Linked DNA regions of Drosophila melanogaster. The protein of the gene in region 3 interacts with the protein of the main gene of each other region in a pairwise test. Each region holds a gene or a part of one and is shown on either strand. Other genes may lie near its edges.

What was found.
Region 1: the proteins of Cpr92F (region 3) and Cda5 interact in a two-hybrid assay, tested with the Drosophila melanogaster proteins (one large-scale study listed by BioGRID).
Region 2: the proteins of Cpr92F (region 3) and Ciz1 interact in a two-hybrid assay, tested with the Drosophila melanogaster proteins (one large-scale study listed by BioGRID).
Region 4: the proteins of Cpr92F (region 3) and Pits interact in a two-hybrid assay, tested with the Drosophila melanogaster proteins (one large-scale study listed by BioGRID).

Annotation. Positions count from the first base shown.
Region 1 is NT_033779.5:56,252-60,884, reverse strand, and holds the start of Cda5 (chitin deacetylase-like 5), read left to right. Parts: upstream 1-1,616; 5' UTR 1,617-1,695; exon of another isoform or gene 1,696-1,926; intron 1,927-2,153; exon of another isoform or gene 2,154-2,636; intron 2,637-2,691; exon of another isoform or gene 2,692-2,702; 5' UTR 2,703-2,734; coding exon 2,735-2,804; intron 2,805-4,633.
Region 2 is NT_037436.4:9,863,010-9,870,647, forward strand, and holds the start of Ciz1 (Ciz1 zinc finger protein), read left to right. Parts: upstream 1-1,629; 5' UTR 1,630-1,793; intron 1,794-2,048; 5' UTR 2,049-2,089; coding exon 2,090-2,389; intron 2,390-3,304; coding exon 3,305-3,352; intron 3,353-4,304; coding exon 4,305-4,735; intron 4,736-5,244; coding exon 5,245-5,926; intron 5,927-5,989; coding exon 5,990-6,313; intron 6,314-6,436; coding exon 6,437-7,089; intron 7,090-7,148; coding exon 7,149-7,470; 3' UTR 7,471-7,638. Other genes in the region: iPLA2-VIA (calcium-independent phospholipase A2 VIA), read right to left, coding at 1-253, 312-607, 768-807.
Region 3 is NT_033777.3:20,667,705-20,673,343, forward strand, and holds Cpr92F (cuticular protein 92F), read left to right. Parts: upstream 1-1,866; 5' UTR 1,867-2,026; coding exon 2,027-2,038; intron 2,039-3,431; coding exon 3,432-4,565; 3' UTR 4,566-5,117; downstream 5,118-5,639.
Region 4 is NC_004354.4:12,580,149-12,585,022, reverse strand, and holds the start of Pits (protein interacting with Ttk69 and Sin3A), read left to right. Parts: upstream 1-1,829; 5' UTR 1,830-2,472; coding exon 2,473-3,451; intron 3,452-4,874.

The DNA.
Region 1 (4,633 bases), on a different chromosome or scaffold from region 3:
TGACAGGTTTCATATACATAACAGAAGAAATATTTGTTTCAGGAAACGGAGTTATTACGGTTCATTAATGAGTTTGCCAAATCGCCTGTTTTACCAAACGTGGCCAAAGTGTTCTTGGTATACCGATAGAAATTTACAAGGGTTATAATAAAATAAAAAAAAATCTCAAAAACTTTTTAAAAGTGTGCGCGTGGCAGCTTTTGGGGGTTTGTGGGCATTAGAAGGAACGCCGCCAAAGTGTTCTTAGTATAACGATAGCTATGGGCGGTCTGTGGGCGTAAGAGTGGGCGTGGAAAAAATGGATTTGGCAAATGAATATAAATTTACAAGACTGATGAAAATATACAAAAAAATATGCAACAATTTTTCAAAAATGTGGGCGTAGCAGTTTCGGGTTGCTTGAGGTCGTTACAGTGGGTGTGGCAACATGGGACAACAAACTTGCGCTGCGTCCATGTCACTAGAATATGTATGCTGAATCTCAACCTTCTAGCTTTAATAGTTCCTGAGAACTCGACGTTAATACGGACGGACAAGCCTGATCGACTCTGCCAATGGTCTTGATAAAGTATTTGTATATTTTATATGGTCCGAAACGTTTAGTTCAAGATACACTTCGTTACACACTTTTTAATATAGTAACGGAAATAATTAAATAATTTCCTAAACAAAGTCAAAAATATTCAATGCAACAAAACACCTCGCCCTCCATTCACAGAAAAAATCGTGTGAAACACAATCCAGCAAAAATAAATTAATAAATAAAGAATTAGATTAATTCGCATGCCTTGCTCAAACCATCAGCCATCGCCGTTCACCAGAACCCCTTTACTTCAGCTGTTGTTTTACAGCTTTTGCTTGGCTTTGGTTGGCTGCTTTGGCCTAGTTCTTGGTCGTTGCCATGTTTTCAACTCGGTTTTACTTTCAATTCTATGGTTCGAAATTGGCCACTTTACTTTAGACTTTAGAGTAAAGCTATATGTTGGGCATATAAATCGAATTTATCAAGGGCAATTCAGCTGGGTGGTATTAATTCTAAAAGTGATTGAGTGGTCTTCCTTCGATCCCATGCTTGACATGGATTCAAGTCCAAGCCCATGTTGAAGTAGTAAGCATTCTTTAATTTAAGCACCGTAATCCACTATCGAGCGATCCAGAAACCTGCTGCTAAACGAAAATGTAACGAAAAAGGTAACAACATTTCACAATCGCCTTGGTAAATAGTTTCCCAGCCTTCGTTGGCTAGAGGGTGGATATTGTTGTAGTTTCAGAAAACAATAAACAAAGCCCGCTCCCCGCTTGTAGATAGCTTGAAACTGATGGGGAGCTTTGGATGAAATTCTCAGTAAAATGTTGAAATTCACTAAGAATATGGGTCTGGACTACATTTTTCTGATAACTTGTATAACTTGTAAAACGTAGCAAAGCTGCAATGGCGCAAGCGTTAACTTTACTCTTACTTTCAAAAGCTTAAGAGATACAAACGACTCCGCGCGGGTGCAGCAACAACTTGAACAGTCTGTTAATGTAAAGTAACAGTCGGGGCCAAGCGTGGCGCAGACCAAGCTTGGCCCAAAAGCCAGACTTCGAAACTTGGTTGGCTGGCTGCGCTTGCCCAGAGTCTCAAGACACTCGTCCGCACAGTCGCGCTGTATAGTTGTTTCGATTAGGACGTGTGGTTCGCTTAAGCGCACGGTAAGCAGAGACGCTCGAGGGTCACCCGAACTTGTCAGGCGGTCTAAACTGTTTGCAATAAGCCACAATCAATTTTTGGGCTTTCGATTGCTAATTTATTTCGTAAACGCGTCGAAATAAAGTCCACCTCTGACTGGACATTGCAACCAGCCAAAAATTTAACATTTTGTAGAAAGCAGTTTTAACTGCATTTTGCAGTTTAGTCGAAGAGCTCAAGCGTGTGTGTCGGTGGTAAGCTAACTTTGCGTTAAAAAGAAAGTTTACGCTAAATATATATACAAGCTTCGACAAACAAAATAAAAACGTGCAGGTTTTGTTTTATTTTGTTTCGCATTTTCCTCTACGCGCTACAGACTAGTTCATACAGAGTTTTCCAATATGGAGGTGCCCGCGATACCGTACGGGAAATCTAAATCAAACACCGATCTTCGATTTGATCTCTTTGCATTTTTGTCTAGCAATCTTTTCCATGGTAACTACAAAACGAACAGCGGTCATTGCAGTCTCACGTGAAAGAAACTAAAAAACCTAACTAAAAATCGCTTGCCAAAAGCAATGGAGGAAAACTAAGTGTTGTAATCTGTAAACGTGTGTGTTAGCTATGCATCGTCGCGTTGGTTAAAGCCAAACGAAAGCTCGAATAATAGGGGCAGAAACTAAATCTGCTTACAACAATACAAACATGTCCTAACCAAGTGAAGGCACAGCCACAAAGCCGCAGTCGCGGCATAAGCCAGACACACCATTAAGAAAACTGTAACACAAGGCTCAAAAAATCTAAATTGAAAAATTGCGACACTGCCTTCTTAGTTATTTAGCAATTGTTTTCAACAAAACAGAGGTTTTCTCAACGGTAACTGCCTCCGTCATCGGTACGGTGGCTGCTGCTGCTCCCCACTTCCCGCGCTTCCAACCACTATTTTTATCCGAGCTTGCCTATGGTATTTTAAATTCTGTGAACTAACCCCAAAACGAAACTGAACCAACCACATCAAGAAAATTTACAGTTACAGTTACGACGACACGCCATACCTGCAATATGAAGTATTCAACAAGTCGAATAAACATTCTGTGCCTGCTGGGATTGTGCCTACTGCTTTTTAAAACAGGTGAGTAATGCCCACTTCAGTGAAGAACACTCTGCTAGAAATACAAATGGAGGCAAAAACTTAAAAGAGCAAAGGGCTTACACACTTTACCCACTAGTCCTAGAAGAGTTAGCACTTAACCAGATTTTAAGACAACCATGGATAAGTATTCAGTTCATGTATGAACTGAAATCTTTTTTTAAACGTAGATCCGAAAAAGTTTTATTTTTAAGTGAATTGTTTTTACAGTACTATGGATTCTTCTTTTCCTCAATCATATTCGAAACTTCGTGATAGAAATATTATGTTCCGCAAATAAAGCCAAACTTGTTTTGAACACTGTTCCGGCTGCCATGTACGAGCTCGCAATAGTCTAATGTCAAATTCAATCACCGTAGAAGAAGTCAAACCACCAGCTGTTAACCACTTGTGTTGAGCTCTATTGTGGATACTCCGGCTCCGGCTAAACGAGTTTCTTAATATGTCCAAAAATGTATATTTATTTTAATATATATATATATATATATATATTAAGACATTTTACTGCGAAATGTGTTAGGATATATAAAAAGTAAGAGTATTTACATTAGGGTATGTATGGAGGTAAATACATGGTCTGATCAACTGCTCTATTTACCAGCGAACAATAACATAATCAAGCATTTCGACCATAACAAGCCTTACCGTGTCCAACTATTGGTCACTTGGGCTGTCTACTCACCATACTGCTGGGTAATGGTAATGGAATTATGTAAGTTATCAGCCAGCAGCCAACCAAGCAGCTTATGACACAGATATTAATTGCATACAGCTCGCTGACTCGATTGAATAGGTTCACTAAGTGAGTGAGTGTATCGGTGTAACCGAGCAAATTGTGGCTATAATAACTGTTGATAATTTTTAAAACAGTTTGCTTAATTGTTCAGACATTTTTTATGAATGATATATATGCAAAATTTGAGAAAACAAATTGGGAACTACGAAAATTGCTTAGATAACGTGGTAAGGATTAACACTATTAAAATTATAATAACAGCATTAGACGGCTAAATTGTTTTGAGATAGATTTTTTGTATTACCTTTGTGGCCTTATAAAGTGCATATATGTATCTTATTCATAACATATTAGTAAAAACAGCGAACTTGAAATAGCCAAGCCCGGCTGTCCGATCGTCCTCTTTTAAACAATTTATAATCTATCTGCTATACCGATTCGGTCGTTGATACTTAGCAAGAAATATATATACCATATATGGGCACAATTGTGTCCTTCACAGCTTTGAAATTTCTGACTTAAGTGAATGTACCCTCCGCAAGGGTATGAAGACTTGCATGACTTGGTTTAGGCATAGTGGCAACACTTTCCATTTTGATGAACTTTCTCAGTGTTTTGAGTGGTGTTTTTTTAAGCCACAGAAATATATATTTGGGTAAAACCTTAGATATGCCGCCATGGAAATATTTTCATGCGTAATTGCTAGGAAATTTGTGTTAAAACATTTGATGTACTACTGGTTTAATGCGAATGTCGATGGCTGAAAGAAAAAGGTTTGAGGCGGACGAGGCCAATGGCGAAAGTTGAACATTTGCAAGAACATTTGTTTAAGCGCGTGTTTAATGAATAGTATAACAAAGGGGTTTTAATCATAATTCAGTTTCAATGCCAGTTAAACCATTAGTATGGTGGTCACGCCTCGACCTAATCATTTCGTCTCTTTTTTACCGCAGGCAGTGTCAATGCTTACCGTGCGAAAGTTTTGGCGCACGCGGAAGATCGTCATTAAATTACTTCGCTAGGTCTTTGACTGTAACCTGAACACTTTATACGAGCATGTACGACCATTGGCATG
Region 2 (7,638 bases), on a different chromosome or scaffold from region 3:
TGCTGTTTATATCCAAGTGTTCCAGCTTGCTCAGCGGCAGCAGAGCCTTCACCATCTCCATGTGACCCTGTTTGATGGCCAACTGGAAGGGCGACATTAGGGTGGCGGCATCTGCTTGGTCCACGCACTGGAGCATCTTGGGATTGCTAATGTAGTCCACCAGATTGAAGTAGGCAATCAAATGGGACAGCGTCCAGGAGGGATTATCAGCCAAGGCATCGCAAGCTTTCTGCAGCCCATTTACATTGTAGTACTGAAAAATATAGAGTTAAATACATTGCTTCGCATTGCTTTGTAGTCCTCTCTCAAACCTCTTTCACAATGCTGACGAAAACGGGCAGCCTTTGCAGAAAGGCATTGAAGCGTTCCTCGGCTTCCTGCTGCACCGGCGACCGGTACAGACTGAAGGATGTGGTATTGGAATCCGAGGTGGGTCGCTGCAAAATGATCTCATAGACGGCTCGTTTTTCATTGCTGCTGTTGAAGGGCGGTGCAAAGAGGAGCATGGCGTCATCGCGGGCCAGGACTTGAAGTGTCCCCAGCGCTTCGCTCTTAATTTCCACGACCTTATTGGCCGGCTGATCGACACCCAGCAGGCGCTGTAGAACTGTAGTCGTACAAAATTGAAAGGCAATGTCATTAGATAAGGCGAATGCGTTGGTCATAAGACACATTAATACATTCTCAACTAGTCTACTAAACGGTGACACGACATGAACATGAACAGGAGGAGGAAGAGCAGTAATGATTGAAAGGGGGGTGAATACCGAAACCGGAGGCTAGTGCCCCTAACGCCATCCACGCCATGACTCAAGGGTGCGGAATTTGCTGCTGCGGATGCTGAATGTGTACTTTGAACTGGGCCAATCTGATCGGATGAGCTGGCTAATGTGGATGCGGTGAGCCTGACAGAAAAACAATGGCCAGTTGGTTAGTTACACGGGTGTGGGTGAGGATGAGCGAGTGGTTCGATGGGCTGCCAAGAAATCAATAGTACACATCTTTGGCCAATGGGAAGGGAACAGATCATCCGATGGCTCTACATTGCAGTAATGCTGCCCGTTTTTTCGTGCCTTCCCGCTATCCGTTGCTGCCCGACGTAATCAATGGTGACAATCATAAAATGCTTATTGTTCTGTGGGTCAGTTTGCGATTTTTTTTATTGGCAACAGTATTAGCTAACCATTGAACATTTTACTGCTCTGATTTCAGGTTTCCTTATCGCACAATTCCAGTATAAAACAATTTAAAATTTCTGCTATGTAAAATAAGAACTGAGCTGTATTTTTTGCAGCTTTATTAGCGATGTCACCGTTTATCAGTGATGGTACTGCATCAAACGATATTTCTAGACTTTCTAGTCGAGTTCAAACCCCCAATGGTAGGGGCTTGCAAATAAATGATACAAATTCGATTTCATTAAAGAAATGTTGTTTAAGAAATTAAATTAAATTTACATAGTTTTCGAGAATATTTGAAGAAAGCAAAGAAATTTTCTTTTATTTCGTTATTATGTTATTATGTTATTAATAATGTTATTTCAGCTAAATAGCATTGCCACATTGTTGACAATCGATATAGCCAAGTCTTAACAATCGATTTTAAGCACTGATTCCACAGAGCACGGTCACACTTCACTTTGTTCGCCATTGCTAGACAAAAAATTGTTTCGAGCGAAAAAAGTAGCTGATAGAAAAGGTGAAAATCAGAAGTTAAACGTTCAGTTAAAACTGAAAAACAGACAGAAAAGCAGTGCTTCATTGTGCCCATTAGTGAATAGTGTTAGAGCAGAGGTAAGTGGCTTAGATCAATTTGCAGTAAAATCGCAAAAAAATTCTCGGGCCGGCAGAAAATCGATTCTTTTTTTCTCAAACCGAGCGACGCCACCGGCGGCGCAGAGATAATCCATGAAAAGAAAAAAAAACTTAAGGGGTGCTGCGCTGAACGCTCAGTCTGTCCTTATGTATATTTTGCACGCATTTGTGCATACATGTATATAGTCTGCCATGCGGATCGAATTTTGTAATCTTTTCAACGCAACCTTACAGTATTTCCTTGTGCTGCAAACAGGAAGAGATTGGAATTAAAGATGCGTGGACGCGGCGGATTCATTCCACGTGGTGGTGGCACCACTCGCGGTGGCTACTACAATAATCGCAATTCCAGCAACTACGTTAATACTCGCACCCAGGGCAATTACCGACCCAATAATGGCCGCTACGAGAATAACTATCACAACAACAACAATCGCTACAACAACCACAACAACAGCGGCGGAGGAGCAGGAGGCAACAGCCACTACGACAACAGGAGTCGGGACAAGTTCACTCACCACAACTCGAGCAGCGGGCGCTACGAGTCCAGCTCCTCGAGCCACAAGCGCAGCTATGTAAGTTGGAGCACTTCGCACTAACCTATAAGTAACCATTTGTGAGTAATTACTACGATAGCTTCAGAAATATGCCCAGATTTGTTCTGCATTCTAATTAATTTCAATTTGGATTATAATGACAGGGTAGAAATTGAAATTATAATAGTTAGACCACCTTGACATTGGTTTTTCTACATTGTGTATCTGAAAATAGAGGGATATCGCTTATAACACGTACATATATTGATACGATTTTTTTGCAATGCTGATCATTCAGCCTCTTATTATCTCCCAAAGGAGATAAGAAACTGTAGGTAATATTTGGATGCGAAAAGATTTTTGGCACTATATGTAAATAAGACGAATACCAATGCATGTGAAAAATCAGAGATAAGAACCTTTTACAATCAACTTTTGTAATTGATAATAACAGACATTCTGGTCAAGCTAGTAAACACTTATTGGATGACTACTTATCTTTCCTAATTATACATCTGACAGAAAGAGAGATTATATCGAATTGACGTCTTTTCCACATGCAAAGCAAATGAAAAACTATTCAATATATATATATAAATATATTATATTCAACCTTAAAAGTATATATTCTACGAACAGGTGCGTACTTATAAACGGCACACTTATTTCTGTGGAAAAAATAGATAAGAATGATTATAGTATTTGAAATATACGTTTGATGTTAATTTAATATTTTTCAGTGGCAAATACGCTTGAGTATATTTGGCGGTCTTTTTTTTGTTTTCTTTTACCTTTTACCTCTTTGATCAATTGTTACATATTACATATATATTAATAACAAGTCTGTCGCTCTTGTAGTAAATGAATGATGTATTACCCAAATCCATCTATATATATATATACATATATATGTGTATTCATAATGCAATCTATTTTTATGTTTTGTGTTTCTAGGACTCATCTCGCGACCGCAGCGATGATCGCAAACGCCCGCGTCAAGACGTAAGTTATACTTTGCCCCATTTTAAATGCTATTGAAAGCACGCTATACCCAAAGGTCGACATATTAATTATGCATTAAGCCAATCGCCATGTACTGTGTAATGTTAATGACTTTCCAAATATTTATAGCACTGTTTGTGAAGCTTAAACGCGGGACTGAGTTGAGCCTATCGAGCGTTAAAGCATAACATGTCCCAAATGAGCAAACAGCGCGCTGACTCAAAGTTGCCAGACAAGCACTTTGGAGCACCGAACCTCTGACCATATACCACATAAATCTATATAAATCTGTATATTGTCCATAGCATCGGCAGCGGCGCGGCACCATATAGATAATGATTTTGCCAGCGACCGATCGATTGATCGATCGATATGATCCAATCCGATTCGATCTGAACCGACCCGAAATGATCCACGTATATGATATGAGAGAGCAAAAACTTCTTTAGAGAGCTGTTGAATCGATTGAAGCGATTTTGATCTGTAAACTCTTGTATGTCTTGTATGCCTTCTACCGTACCATCAGCTGTCAAATTTTTCCCCATACCGAATATCCAATATCAATGGTCGGTTAGCAATCCGAGCAGAGCAAATAGAAATCTATCAGTGTGTACATCCGCATACGAATTATAATAATAATATCGATTCAAATCTGTGTAGCTAAGCTATATGCGTATAAGTTTTCTCCATCATGCTACCACACACAAAAAACACGCTGCAGGAAATAATAATAAAAAATAATAACAGCCAATTGTGAACTATATAACCCACAACCAATCCGATCAGAATCAGAATCAATATCAGTCCGTAGCTATATAGCAATTATTTTCATTCAAGAAGTCTAAATATGTTTTATATCTACCAACTATATTTGATATTTGATACAAAAATCAATACCAAATCAACCAAAACAAAGCTCCTTCACACCTTCCTACTCATCAATCGTCAATAGGATTACCGTCGCACGTCCTCGTCGAATGATCGCAGCGATCGACCCTCGTCCTCGTCGCAGAACATTGGCTCCTCGTCATCGAACTATCATCAGCGGAGCAGCACCGGCGGTGGTGGTAATAACGGCGGGAGCTCGAGCTCCTACCGCCCACGCGATGATTCCACCAGCGGCAGCCGGCATCAGCGGGACGGATCGATGGGTCCTCCGAAGCGGATGATGCGTAGCGTGGCCGGCACCAACTATATATCCCGACCCCGTGGCACAATGTCGATGAGGGGCGGCATGATGCGCACCGGGATGCGGGTGGGAGGAATGCGCGTTGTGCGCACCAGGGTCAACGAGTCGAATGACCTGCGCACCATGCGCCGCCAGCTGCTCTATGCACAGCAGAAAGACCGGGCTCGCCTGCTCAAGATTCAGCAGCTGAAAAGGTAAATAGACCAAATTTCAAAAAAAAAAAAAAATCAAATTAAATCAAAACCCAAATGAATATACAAAAATCAGAGTTACGCTATTGTGCACCAATTGAGGACGCAAAGAACTATGAATGCAATCCGTGAGATTGACATAATAATGTGAACGAACTGTGAGATTCAGTGAGGCATCGAAAATCTGAATGCGAAAAGGAGGAGGGAGGAGAGCACTTGGTGCAAGATTATCCAAGCGGCCTCCAGAGAAACTCCCATCTTCGTAGATCAAATACTATCCATGTGTATATAGTTGTGTAACTAAGTAGAACGAATTGAAATGTACCGATAAAAAAGACACCCGACACTTCTTGACAAGAACGTATTTTGTTAGTTTACCACCCAGCTTGTTCTTATGTACTTAAAAAAAAAAAAAAACACAAAATTTTGAACTTGCCTTCAACCAAACAAAACAAAACCATCCTGCCACCCTGACATGACTTCACATTCGAATTCATTCCACCCAAATGTAGCTCGTTGCGACGACAACGCCAGGGCGGGAATTCCAGCGACGATTCCAGCGGCAAAGAGGACAAGGACGGCGAAGATGCTGAGAAAAGCAAGAAGAAGAAAGGCAAGGACAAGGACGCCGATGGAGGCGATGAATCCGACGACGACGATGACGATGAAGAAGACGATGATGAGAAGGACGAGAAGAGCAAGAAGACTTCGCCTGGTAAAAAACGCAACAAGTCGGCCAACAACGAGGACAAGAGTGAGGCCGAAGGTAACGATGATGACGACGATGATGATGATGAGCACGGTGATGGCGATGACGATGATGACAAGGACCTAAATGAGTCCGATCCCAAGAGCGCCAAGGCCGATGACGCCTCCGATGACGAGGATGTCAAGGTGAAGGGCGACGGTGAGGACGGCGATGGTGACAAATCGGACGAAAAGGCCAAGTCATCGGTCGAGAAGTCAGGTAAGAAGAAGGACAAAGACGACGCGAAGGACTCCAAGTCCAAGAAGTCATCATCCACCAAGAAAGAGCGCACGTCTCGCAAGGACAAAGACAAGGAATCATCGGGCGATGATCGTAGCAAGGAGCGACGTAGCTCCCGTCATCGGGATGAGGACCACAACAACCGCAAACGCAGCTTCATCAAACTCATTTGCGTCCATTGCCGCATCAAGTGTGTTACATTTAAGGTGTGTTTCTTTTATTGGAGTCTTGAGTTATTCAATTAACACCATTTCCTCATTGATCCGCAGGAGTATAACTACCATCTGAACTCGCGCTCCCACAAGAACTCCATGCGTCAGGTGGCCCTCAACCAGCGAGCTGACCTGCAGCGTATGCGTGCCCGCCAGCGCACCACACAGCGCGAGATCGAGGAGAATAGCAAGGAGGAGCACGAGTCGCGCTACTGTCGTCTGTGCCGCTTGGCCTACCGCCAGCCCAAGAATCTTCATCAGGCCTCCGAACACCACAAGACCATTAAGAAGTTCTTAATGCCCTATTGCGGCTCTTGCCATCTGGCCTTCAAGAATGCCATGCTCTACGAGAACCACCGCTGCTCCCTGGATCACATTAGGGTGAGTCAGAGTCATTAAGGGATCGAAACTCATTTACAGTTCTGGACTTTACTATATTGTTAATTTCCCTTTCATATCTTGAAATAAGCTTTAAATAATTAATTTTTGTATGTTTTCTTACAGAACAAGGCCCGCAACGATGAATCCGGATCGGATGATAGCGTGGATGAGCGCGAGATAGATTTGAATAAATTCCACACTGTAGACTCGGTGGGCGAGATCGATGTGGACATGATCGACGCCGATGTAGATGCCATGGTCACCGAGGCGGAGGCCGCTCTGAAAAGCGAGGATGAGGAGACTCGCAAACGCGCTCTGATTGGACCGGACTATATAAAGGTCATAGAGGCATTCTACTGCGAGCTGTGCAATCACTATTCCGCCAAGGCTGATGATGTCTCGTTAGAGGACTACACCAAAAAGCATTGCATGCAGCACTCCCATGTGAAGGCTTTCCTGCGAAACAAGGAGGAGACCGAGAAGAAGAACAAGACGGAGGAGGGCGATGAGGACGATCACGATGATGACAAAAAGGCCGGTGATGATGACGCCGATGGCGATGAGGACATCGATGGCAAGTTAAACGAGGATGACGACGAGTACGATGATGATGGTGATGCAGAAGTAGAAGAGGGTGATGCGACCAATGATAAAAAGATGTGGGAGGAGGTGGACAAGGATCTGGGTGACCTCCTGGCAGAAGTAGAGACAAGAGGTCATAAAGAAGATGAGGAGGATGAAGAGGACGAGTCTGTGCTTAACATTGACATTGAAAGGTATGTGAACGACGATGCAGTAATCATGAGCATGTTGTGTAATACGTATTCACTTGCAGCGAGAAAAACAAGGCGAAAGACGGCAAAGAGGAAGCGAACGGCGATACCGATGAGGGAGCTGCGAAAGAAAACGCGCCGGTGGCCAAGTCGCCGGAGAAAAAGCATGCTGCCTCTGCTCCAACCACACCAACGGCCAAGACCACCGCTGCTGCCAGCCAGCCGGCAAAGATGGCAACGCCCAAACCGACTGCAAAAGCAACCAAACCTGGTCCGGCTTCCACGAAGCGCAATGTCTTGGTCAGCGTGAAGCGCACTTCGGCGGCCGCCATTAAAGCTGCCACTAAGTCCGCCAGCAATGCGGCAGCCGCCGACTCCAAGTGAGCGACACTCGAGCGACAGTAATATAATAGTAATAGCAATAACCAAACCCAGTGATTGGGTTGCTACAAACATATTTCAAATATATAACTAAATTATAATGTGCTCAAACAACGTGCACTCGATAATGCCCAGCCAGAGCTGCTTCGACATCTGGCCGCCGAGCCCAGC
Region 3 (5,639 bases):
CATAATTACAGACGCCGTTCGCAAATGGAGCTGGATTGGATCGGGTCGGGTTGGAGCTGAAGCTGAAGGTGGCTGAAGGTGGGCACCTCGACAAATCCACAAATGTGTGGATTGCACTTGAGCCAGTCGAGGCATTCATTCAGGCAGTCGGCCCACAGCTGTCGACAGTGGGCCGAGCTAATAAAATGAAAACAAAAGTGGCACCGGCAAAAAATATAATTTATAATGTTGCGCATACCGCAAAAATGTCAAACACGCCCCAAACCGATCGCCCGCCCGCGCATAAAAACAACAACAACAGCACATGCGGGTTCAAAAGAGCAGTTTGAAGTTGGTTTGGTTTATTCAAATTAAATTGGTGGCAGGCAAAGGCAAACAAATTAAGTTGCCGATACGAACTCAAGAATATGGAGTGTGCCATATAGACTATAAACGAGTATATAGGCGCATATAGCCAACCGCCCTCCCGATTTCGCTTATCGAATGCAAATAATCAAAGTTAGCCAGGGTGCAAGCACTCATTATATTGCAACGGACAAGAGAGGCTCACTGCTGCACTTGCAGAAAAAATGCAATCGGATTTCGGATACGGAATCGAAATTCATTACATTAAATTATATTTATTTCTTTATGTATATATATATATTTATATGTTTAACTGAGCTATAAAAAAATAATAACATTTTGGGGAAAAAAAATCATCTCTTCTCTTTAATAACTAAGATACTCAATAATTGTTAAGAAGTTGGGATATTCAACTAAGATACATACAAAAATTAGTTACAACAGCATTTCTTTCGAAATCGTTCACTCACCTAGCATTCGACGAATATCATTTTCTCTTCTTAGGGATTATTCTTAGTTAAGGATAGCTCATTCTAAGTTAAATAATTTTGATTTTCCGAGTGCATGAGTGCATTTGGGAGTGCAACATCTAGATTAGCGGACAGCAAAGAAATGCTGCAACATGTGGCAACAGCGGTGGCCAAAAGTGAATAGAAAATCCATTTTGCTGTCTTTTGTTTTCCGCTTGCTTCTTTGGGCAGTGCTCTTGTTTCTCCTTTTTTTTTAATTTGCAAAGTTTTCGTTTCGTTTTCCGATGCAGTTCAATGATTAAAGAGGCAAACGCCCAGAAATTGGCCAGCTCACATTTCGTTATGGCCACCATTGGGGCATGTTGCAAGCGGTGGGTAAGAATTTTTTAATTTGATCGAGCGTTGCGCTTGGGGCGGGGCTCTTGGGCGTTTTTTGGAAAGGCACTGATCGATAAGATCGGCCTAATCCCGTGGCCAAATAATGAGTGCTAATTGTCCGCACCGCGGAAGTCAAAGAACTAGCACCCGAAACAACACCAAATAAAATACATTAATCGCCTAATGTTGAAGCCAGGTTGAAACCAATACCGGCAATTAAATCGCGTTGAAAGCAAGGTCATGGCAGCTGTGATTTTTTCCACAGTGACAAACGCAGCGCGGAAACGCACGAGCAACATGTTGCCAGTGCAACTGCAGGCCAGCAACATGCTGCAGCGGCACTCCACTGCAAGCGATTGATACACATTCTTCGGCTGCGATATCCACTTCGGCTCTGGCCAAACCCCGCTTCGAGCCCCGATTAAAGTGGTAATTCGATTACTCTGGAACTGGTACCACACATTGTTCTGCTCTTGCTCTCGTTGGCTTTTGTTGGCTTTTGTTGAACGCCCGATATTGCTGGTGTTGCGGTGTTTTCGCTGCTGTTACCAATGTTGCGCATGCGCCGGCGTCTCAGCCGGAGTCTCGGCTGCAGTGTCTCTGCTCCCCAATCCCCAGTCTCCGGGCTCGCTGGTCTCGGGCGGTATATATTAGGGCCGCCAGCCAGCAGTCAGCACAGTTCGTTAACAGTCCTAGTCGTGGTTCTAGGAGGTTCAACCAGCGTCCAGCGACCAGTGCCTGTGCCCGTGTGTCGTGTGTAGTTAGTTTTCCGTTCATCCGCAGTGTGTCCCCGAAACTCCTTTTCGAAGCTCAATCGTGTGATCATAGCTAAAATGAAGCCATTCGTAAGTATGCGCCATGGGATCGAAAGGATAACGCCGAGCAAGAGGATTAAAGTTATAAATAATATGAGTTGGAGTGTGTAGATTACCGTGAGGAGAAAAGGATATTTGGATTCCGTGCTTGAATTACTGAGATACATTTCTAACTTTTTCTGTTCTACAAATTAGTGATTAACGTCTCTGCATGTAATTTATTTTTCTTAAAGTTACAAAATTTTACCATAAAAGTGGGCAAAAGTTCATTTAATTGATTGATTCTATCATGAAATGCTTAAGTTCATTAAAATCGTAGTTTAATGGAACTATGTAAGTCCACAGCCAGGTTTCGCTAGTTAGAACTGCTTTTTCATTTTCGATCTTTGGGATATGTTAATCGGTATCAAGAGAGAAGTGTGGCATACCAAATCTTTAAATTGGATTTTGTCAGCCGTTCGAAAAGTAAACACTAGTTTGACAGTGACTTGCCATTAAGTTTGAATGAATTCCTGGCATTCTTTTAATCTGTCATAGCGCAATTAATTTAAAATTCAACTGACATTGCTTTTGTAAACTCAATTTATTTCGCTTAAATTCCGCTCCGAACGAAATGGCACCTGTGCATCGTTCAGTTCCATCCGAGAGTCAATTACCATGGCACGTCATGCTAAACGTACCACCCAGCAAACCATCAGCTGCCATGGAACTCCGTGCGAAATCCCGTTGATAAGCCGCTGACATGTTGCATGTCGGACAGTTTATTCAACCGTTTTTCCACCACTTTCTGCCCCACTCACCTGCTGACACATAATATCGTACATAATCGCGCCGCATGCGGTAATATCTTCGAACGAATATTGGCCGACCGACCGACTACTGACTACATATCTCGGAATCAAATCTAACGGTTGCGCTTCGCGGCTCTGAAAAGCGAAACCATTGGAAAAGCGAATCCAGAGGAGAAGCGAGTCCAGGAGAAAAGCGAAAAGATGGGCGTGTGGGGCAAGAAAAGCGAGAGGAAAACGCTGGCGCAAGAGCAAGAAAAGCGAAAAGCCTGTAATTAGGTTAGCAGAGGCGGCTTATAAGCTTCCACTGAGTGACACCTGCGATTAACGATTTTGGGCGGTGGCTACCGCACGAGTAATTATTGAGCAGTCACATAATCCCACGCCTAACACCTTCTGCACTGTGAGAAACATGTAGAAGCTATATGTTAAATAATTTGAAATATTCAAAGAGATGAAGGTACAAAAGTTCTCTAATCGGAATTCAACATAGGCAAAATCAAAAAGATTTTTAATTATTATTATATATATATTTAATATATAAAAATCAGTTCTGTAAAGCTATATTGAAATTTGTTAGTTTTTTTTATCAGCTACATCAAAATTACAAAAAATAATTTCCCATTTTTATTTAGTTTATTGCCGCAGCGTTGCTGATCTCGACGGTGTCCGCCTCTTGGCACGGAGCCGTCTCCACACAGTACCAGCACCTGGACCCGCACAGCCACACCTACTCCTACGGATACGCCGATCCCAACTCACAGAAGCACGAGACGCGAAGCCATGACGGCACCACGCACGGCTCCTACTCCTACGTGGATGGTCACGGTCATGTGCAGTCGGTGTCCTACACCGCTGATCCGCACCATGGCTTCAACGCCGTGGGCACCAACCTGCCTCAGGCTCCTCAAGTTCATGCCGCTCCCGTTTACGCTGCCGCCCACGCCCATGGCGCCTATGCTCCTTACGCCCACGGACCCATCCACATCCCGGTGCTGACCCACGGAGGCGTCCCCGTCGATACTCCCGAAGTGCAGCACGCCAAGGCCGCCCATGCCGCTGCCCACGCTGCTGCCGCCCACAATGCCGGAGGACACCACCTGTACAAGCGGTCTATTTACGGCGGAGGATGGGCCTACGGACAAGCCGCCCATGTGCCGCTGACTCATGGAGGTGTGCCCGTTGATACTCCCGATGTGCAGGCCGCCAAGGCCGAGCACTATGCCGCCCACGCCAAAGCCCTTGGCCATGTAGCTCATGCCCACGGTGCTCCCGTTGAGACACCCGAGGTGCAGCACGCCAAGGCTGCGCACTTTGCCGCCCATGCTGCCGCCCGTTCTGGACATGCCGTTTCCCCCATTAACCACGGTGGCTATCACGTGCCGGTAATCCACAATGGAGTACCCGTCGATACGCCCGAGGTGCAGCATGCCAAGGCCGCCCACTACGCCGCCCTGTCCCAGGCCTCCGCCCACGGAGGAGCCTCGCATGGATCCTGGGATGATGGCAGCTACGACGGACGCTGGGAACAGAGCCACAGCAGCCACAACAGTTACGCCTCCGGCTATGCGCACAAGGGACCCATCCACATCCCGGTCATCCACAACGGAGTGCCCGTGGAGCCTGCCGAGGTGCAGCACGCCCGTGCCGCGCATCTGAATGCGTTGGCCGCCGCCGGACATGGAGCTCCCGCCAGCCATGGTAGCTACTACGGTGGCAATGGACACGAGGATGATGGCCAGTACCACGCGCACTATGACCACTATTAAGTGACGAGTGGTCGGCACTTGAGAGAAGTTTAACTTCCGATCGACGACGAGCATCTCTATACACTCTGACTAACCGACTACCGAAGCCAGCGTGGCGTATGCGTAACGTTGCATTGCGTATTCGCTCGCCAGTGCCACTTTTATACAGCATTCGCAACTCTCTGTCTTTCTATACATTTATCTGTTCTATTACTGCTTCTATTTCTTAACCTCTGTCACAAAAACACACGGAAAACTGAAAGCTACTACACACGGGAGATTGAAGTGCTTCGTTAGAAGCCTTCCTTGCCCGCTGGGTTTTGACCGATTTGGATTTTCGATCCAGTCACAGCACACACATCTCTACCTACCTACCTACATACTTCTCTCTGTACTAGGATTTTCCCTCATTTTTTATCTATATCTTTATCCTCCTGTTACTTCGATTGAGAAACGCTGTATGAGTATGTTGTAAATAACAGTTGTAATCTTTATGTATCTGACCAGATATAGATCTATATTTTATATGAACATGCAAACAGACAAATAAACTGCAAAAATGTATTTGATCACAATTTGAAGTGTTTGGAACTGGTGGTGGGATTGTGGTATTAAGAATTTAAAATCAAAGCCCCAGGATGCAATGTTAACTTACTTCTTGAGATAAGCTTTTAAATTTTGTTGGTAAAAAGCGCAGCCCTAAATAATTAGATAAATATTTCGCTTTACATTTTTCAACATATATATATAAATTAGTTACTTTTTTAATTTAATCAATGATTTCTGTTAAAATATTTCAAAATTTGCTAAGGCTCCTAGACAAAAATTAAAACACTTTTTAGGCTTATTAGATTTAAATTCAATCGAACTTATTGTATTTAAAGTTGGAATTGAAAATTCATCTTCATCCTGAAGATAAAATTCCACATTTAATGATTTTTCTGATGTTTTGTCATGTTAATTAAAAGGCCATCCAGTTTTGGGGCTTCGCATCCATTTACTTTAAACTCTGTTGCATATTTCCCAGTCTCAGGTCAAATGCCGCACCACCCAGAACAACCATCTAAACCACCACTGATACCGCACAACTAGCAC
Region 4 (4,874 bases), on a different chromosome or scaffold from region 3:
TGCTAAGAAACAAACTTTTTTGTATTGACGAGAATAAGTCTAACTCCTATAACTAAATATATAAGAATGTTTTTGCTCAAAGGCAATTTTAGTTGTAATTGATACGAACAGACATACAAACACACACACACGCTAACTGTTATACAAATGAAACGCACACGCTCAAGCCTAATACTGTTATACTGTGTACTTTATATAGCCATTATATACCTAAACCTATATACATATAGGATCGAAACGCTTGCAATTAACTGCTTACATAAGACATTTGAGTCGGGCCCTTGTTATACGGACGTATGCCAGTAGAACAGTGGCCGCGCCGAACCGATCTAGCATTTAACTATCTATATACAACAAATATGTGCGATATTTTTTATATGCAGCTAATTTAATGTGTTGTATTTTGACCCCACACCACCTTGTAACTACGTTTATACGCCTGCTTTTCGAAAATTGAGTAACGCTTATAGAATTTTCGATTCAATTCTTTATGCCTTTTAACAGTTGAACATATATAATCAGTATAGCAACATTTTCTACCCACTTGTAAATAAGTTTATAACTAATGCAGTTTTTGTTGCCTACTTATTCGGGAGTCGAAAGGTCTGTAATTACAAATAAAGCTTGTGTATAAACGTAGTTCGTAGATTCTCTTTTGATTTTAATCTTAAAACATTTTTTGTTAATAAAAGAGGAAATTAAAAAAAAACTTTTAAACTTTCTAGTGTCTTTATTGTGGAATTTTAATTTTGTGGCAATTTAAAGAATATTTTTATATCTTTAATTGAGCCAAACATTTCATAAATAAAATCTCAAATGAAATGTTAAGAAGCGAGTACAGTTGCGCGTGCACGGACATAAACTTATGGCCGGGACTGTATGGAAAGGTGGGGGTGTAAGGAAAGGACCCCGTTTACGAGGTCGTTGCTTGTTCGTGTGTTTCTGTATCTGGTGGCTCCTTTTTCCGCATTTCCTTTTAACAGGATGTACGCACAGATACGGAATTTGTCCCAGACCATGGTCGGGAAATCGATTCAGGCCAAACGCCAGGAATACGAACACCCAAGCATTTTCGCCTATACATATGTACATATATGCAACGATATGCATACACATACATGCTTGCAGTTTGTGGTCCTGCGCAGTGCTTTACGGATGTCCTTGTTTTTTTTTTTTTTTTTGCTAGGAATGAGGGCTTTTAATTTCATTAACAGTTACAGAGCTCTGTTAAGTCAGCTGTTCGCCGAGCGAAAGAGACGGAGCATACCAGATTCAAGGTCTACATAACTGTATCCTATGTACATACGTTCGGTATCTATACGAAAAACGGATGTGTATCCACGAACTTTACATGGTATACTTACAGGCGGACTTTGGGGGAAGGACTTCGTCACTAGATTCCGTTTCGTGAATATGACGTGCAGGCACGTACGCTGGCAGGGTCGTAGCCCCAAAGGGGGTTAAAAATAAAAATAAATATTATTTTTAATTACTTAAACAGCCAAAAGGGTTTATTTTTAATATTTGGGCGTAATATTAGGAGCAATATATTAAAAGCTATATATATTAATACGAAATAGTAGAATTACTATGCTCAAAATGATGCTAAATTTTAAAGAAAATTTAAAATTTCCTTAGCTTTATCATGGTTGAAGTCTTCGCTACAGTCTCAGCCACTTTGGCAACCCTGGTTGAAGTCCACTGAAAGGTTCGTGTCTCTGATATAAGCCAGTATTTCAGGTATTTTCTTGGTATTTCCCATTGCGGCAGCGAAGATTTTTTAGTACATTTCGCTTGGCCCCTGGGGTATATTCTCACATACCAGCCAAGGCCACACTCTATCAGCAAGCTGTGTGGCGTCCGGTCGCTTTTTCAGTCATTCGTTGCGTCGCTGCGATCTCATCGTTCGTTTTGTTCCTACACGTTTTTGGCGTCGTCGTACATTTACGTGTCCCGCTTACTCGCGCGCACCCTCTCTCTTTCACTCTGCGGCGCGCGTGCCTAAGTGTGGTGTGTGGTGTGTGTGCCTGTGTGCGTGCGTGTTGGCGAGCAGCGCGGCGCAGCACAATAGAAAAGAAGAAGAAGAAGAAGCTGAAGCTGAAGGAAAAAACATAAGTGAATTTTTTTCGGGTGGAAGCGCGGTGAAATATGCGTGCGTGCGCGCGTGTATATGTGCGTGTGTGCGAAAATCAATACGAAAACATGAATAACAAATGCTAAATAAGAAAAATAGCTACAACGCACAACCGAAAAGAAGCTGAAACAAGAAAAAAGAAAGCGAAAAAAAAGGAGAAAATAATAAATAATAGGAATTGGGAATCCAGCAGGAAGGAACAGTTAGCCATTCCAGTGAGCTAAAACAGCACAAACCCATTTCCAGATCCAGCCCATCCAGGGCTTCCAATTGACAGTTGCCAATTGACAGTTGACAGTTGCTAGTTGCCAGTTGACAGTTTCCAGAAACGCAGCAGGATGTCGCTGCAAACGAAAAGGCAGCACTGCTATCTGTGCGATTTACCCCGCATGCCCTGGGCGATGATCAATGACTTCTCGGAGGCGGTGTGCCGCGGTTGCGTCAACTATGAGGGCGCCGATCGCATCGAGGCGGTGCTGGACGCCGCCCGCCAAATGAAGCGTCTCCATCCCGCCAGCAAACAGCAGCGTTCCCATGAGAACGGCGAAGTGTCCGCCGCTGCAGCGGCCGCCGTCGTCCTACAGCAGCAACAACAGTTACAAGTCGGTCCAGTTCCGGGACAAGGACCGGGTTCCCATCGCGGCGGAGGTGGCGGCGGTCCACCGGGTGCTCCGCCCGGAAGTGGTGGTCCAGGTCCGTCGGGCGCCGGTTCGCTCAGTTCGCTGGGCAATGCCGTTGCTGCTGCCGCCGCCGCTGCTGCAGTGCATCATCACCATCAGATGCCCTATCAAATGCCAGTGCCACGCATCGGTCCGCCACTGGACTATCCCGTTAAGCTGGAGGATGCCCCCGGTGGCGGCGTACGACCCGTACGCATTTCACACATGACGCCCCACCACCTGCCGCCAAATGCGACCCGCGGCGGTGGCGGTGCACCCGGCGGCGGCGTACCCACCGCCGGCAGTGGCGGTGGCAGCCTACCGCCCGCCCTATCCGTGAATTTAAAGCGTCCGCCCAGCGAGGATGTCGATGTGGATGTAAGCCAGCAGCAACAGCAGTCGGGACACGGCCTGGCGCCAGATGGCAGTGCTGGCAACTCCCTATCCGCCGGCGGAGGCGTATCCGGCGGTTGTCCGCCCGGCATCAAGCGCAGCGCCATGGACGATCCAAGTGGCGTGGGCGGCAGACCGCCATTGACGCGTGGCGAATCCCTGCCAGCGGCGGTCAGCTATGTGCCCGAGCGTCAGCTTAGCGGACTCCGTGATAAGCAGCAGCCGGTCAGAGCGCCCAGTTTCGATGCATCGACCTTCAAAGCAGGTGAGCAAACATGACATAGATCATTCAAAATACTTGGCACAGTGGTTACCCAATAGAAAGAACTTTGCTGCAGCAAGTAATGGGAAAATTTTTCATTTGCAGTAGGGATTCGGGAAAAGCAGGAGTAGTTTCAACTACCTTGAAAACTACCTTTCATAATAATTAGAGTAAAGTGATCAGAGTCTCAAAAGTGCCGCGTTGATAAATATTTGGCTTTATAAATGATAGTACAAAACACTATCTATCGTGGTGGAAAACAGATTTGGGATAATCCCCTATCAGTGATGGATTTCTTATCACTTATAGCGATCGGATCGAATCGCCAGTGGGAAATACGCGATATGGATTAAAAAATGGAGTGACCAGGGGGATGTTGTTTCCCAGCCACAGTGAACACTTGATATCTTCTAAAGTATATTTTATCAAAATATTTCAAATACAAAACTCTTCGAGGGGTGATATTTCAGTTTGCTTTGATAGCCAATGTCAAACAAAAATAAAAACTTGTTTAAACAAACAAGTGAGTTAGAGGAAATTTTTTTTTGCTAATTTCAATCTAAGATTTGCTGGATAAAATTAAACACTATTTTATCCTCCGGAAACATAGGAAATTTGCTTAAATCCTAAGTTTGAAAAAGTTGGCGGCCACTGTATTTGTTTACCGTTTCTTACCAATCCCCCGCCTTTTTTTTTTTAATATGAGCCGTGATCGCGGGATACAGAGCACTGTTTCTGCCTCGCTCTAGCCTGGATGTGGGTGGAAGGTCGTGGTGGGGGAGTGGGAGGAAGAGAGGCGGCGATATAGTGGCACACATACCGCTTATTCAGGGCAGAGTGAAACGGCGTGATTGCCTGCTCCTTATCTCTCCTTACTGGAAGGCGAGCTAGAAGAAGACTGCGCTTCTCATGTATATGCACGTACACATTTACGTTTGCATGGATGATAAGGAGCGTTGTGTTGGAGATTAGATAACTCATTTGCTTATCAGCGCGTCCTTATCGCCACCCAATGCGTATGTATAACTCACACATACACGCATACGTGCACATGCATGCATGTACATTCAAACAGAAAAAGAAGCGTATAAACGCATTTTGCAACCCTCTGTGGAAAAAAGGGGCTGCTAACCCTTGCCATTAAAAGGCATGCGCACATGCCAATATACATATAGGGAATATACATGTGCATGTACCGCGCAGACACACACGCGCACACAACTACGTGTTCGTTTACATGCACGTACGTAACAGTCGCAATGGCAATAACAAAAAACGGCGAGAAAAAAAAGCGCAAAAAGCACACGAAAAAAGGGCCGCAGAATGTAATATAAACAGAGACGTGCAAAAATCGTCGACGCTGACGTTGTAATGTTCTCGCTCTCTATCTCTTTCTCCCTCCGTCTTCTGTCGCTTTTCTCTTCTT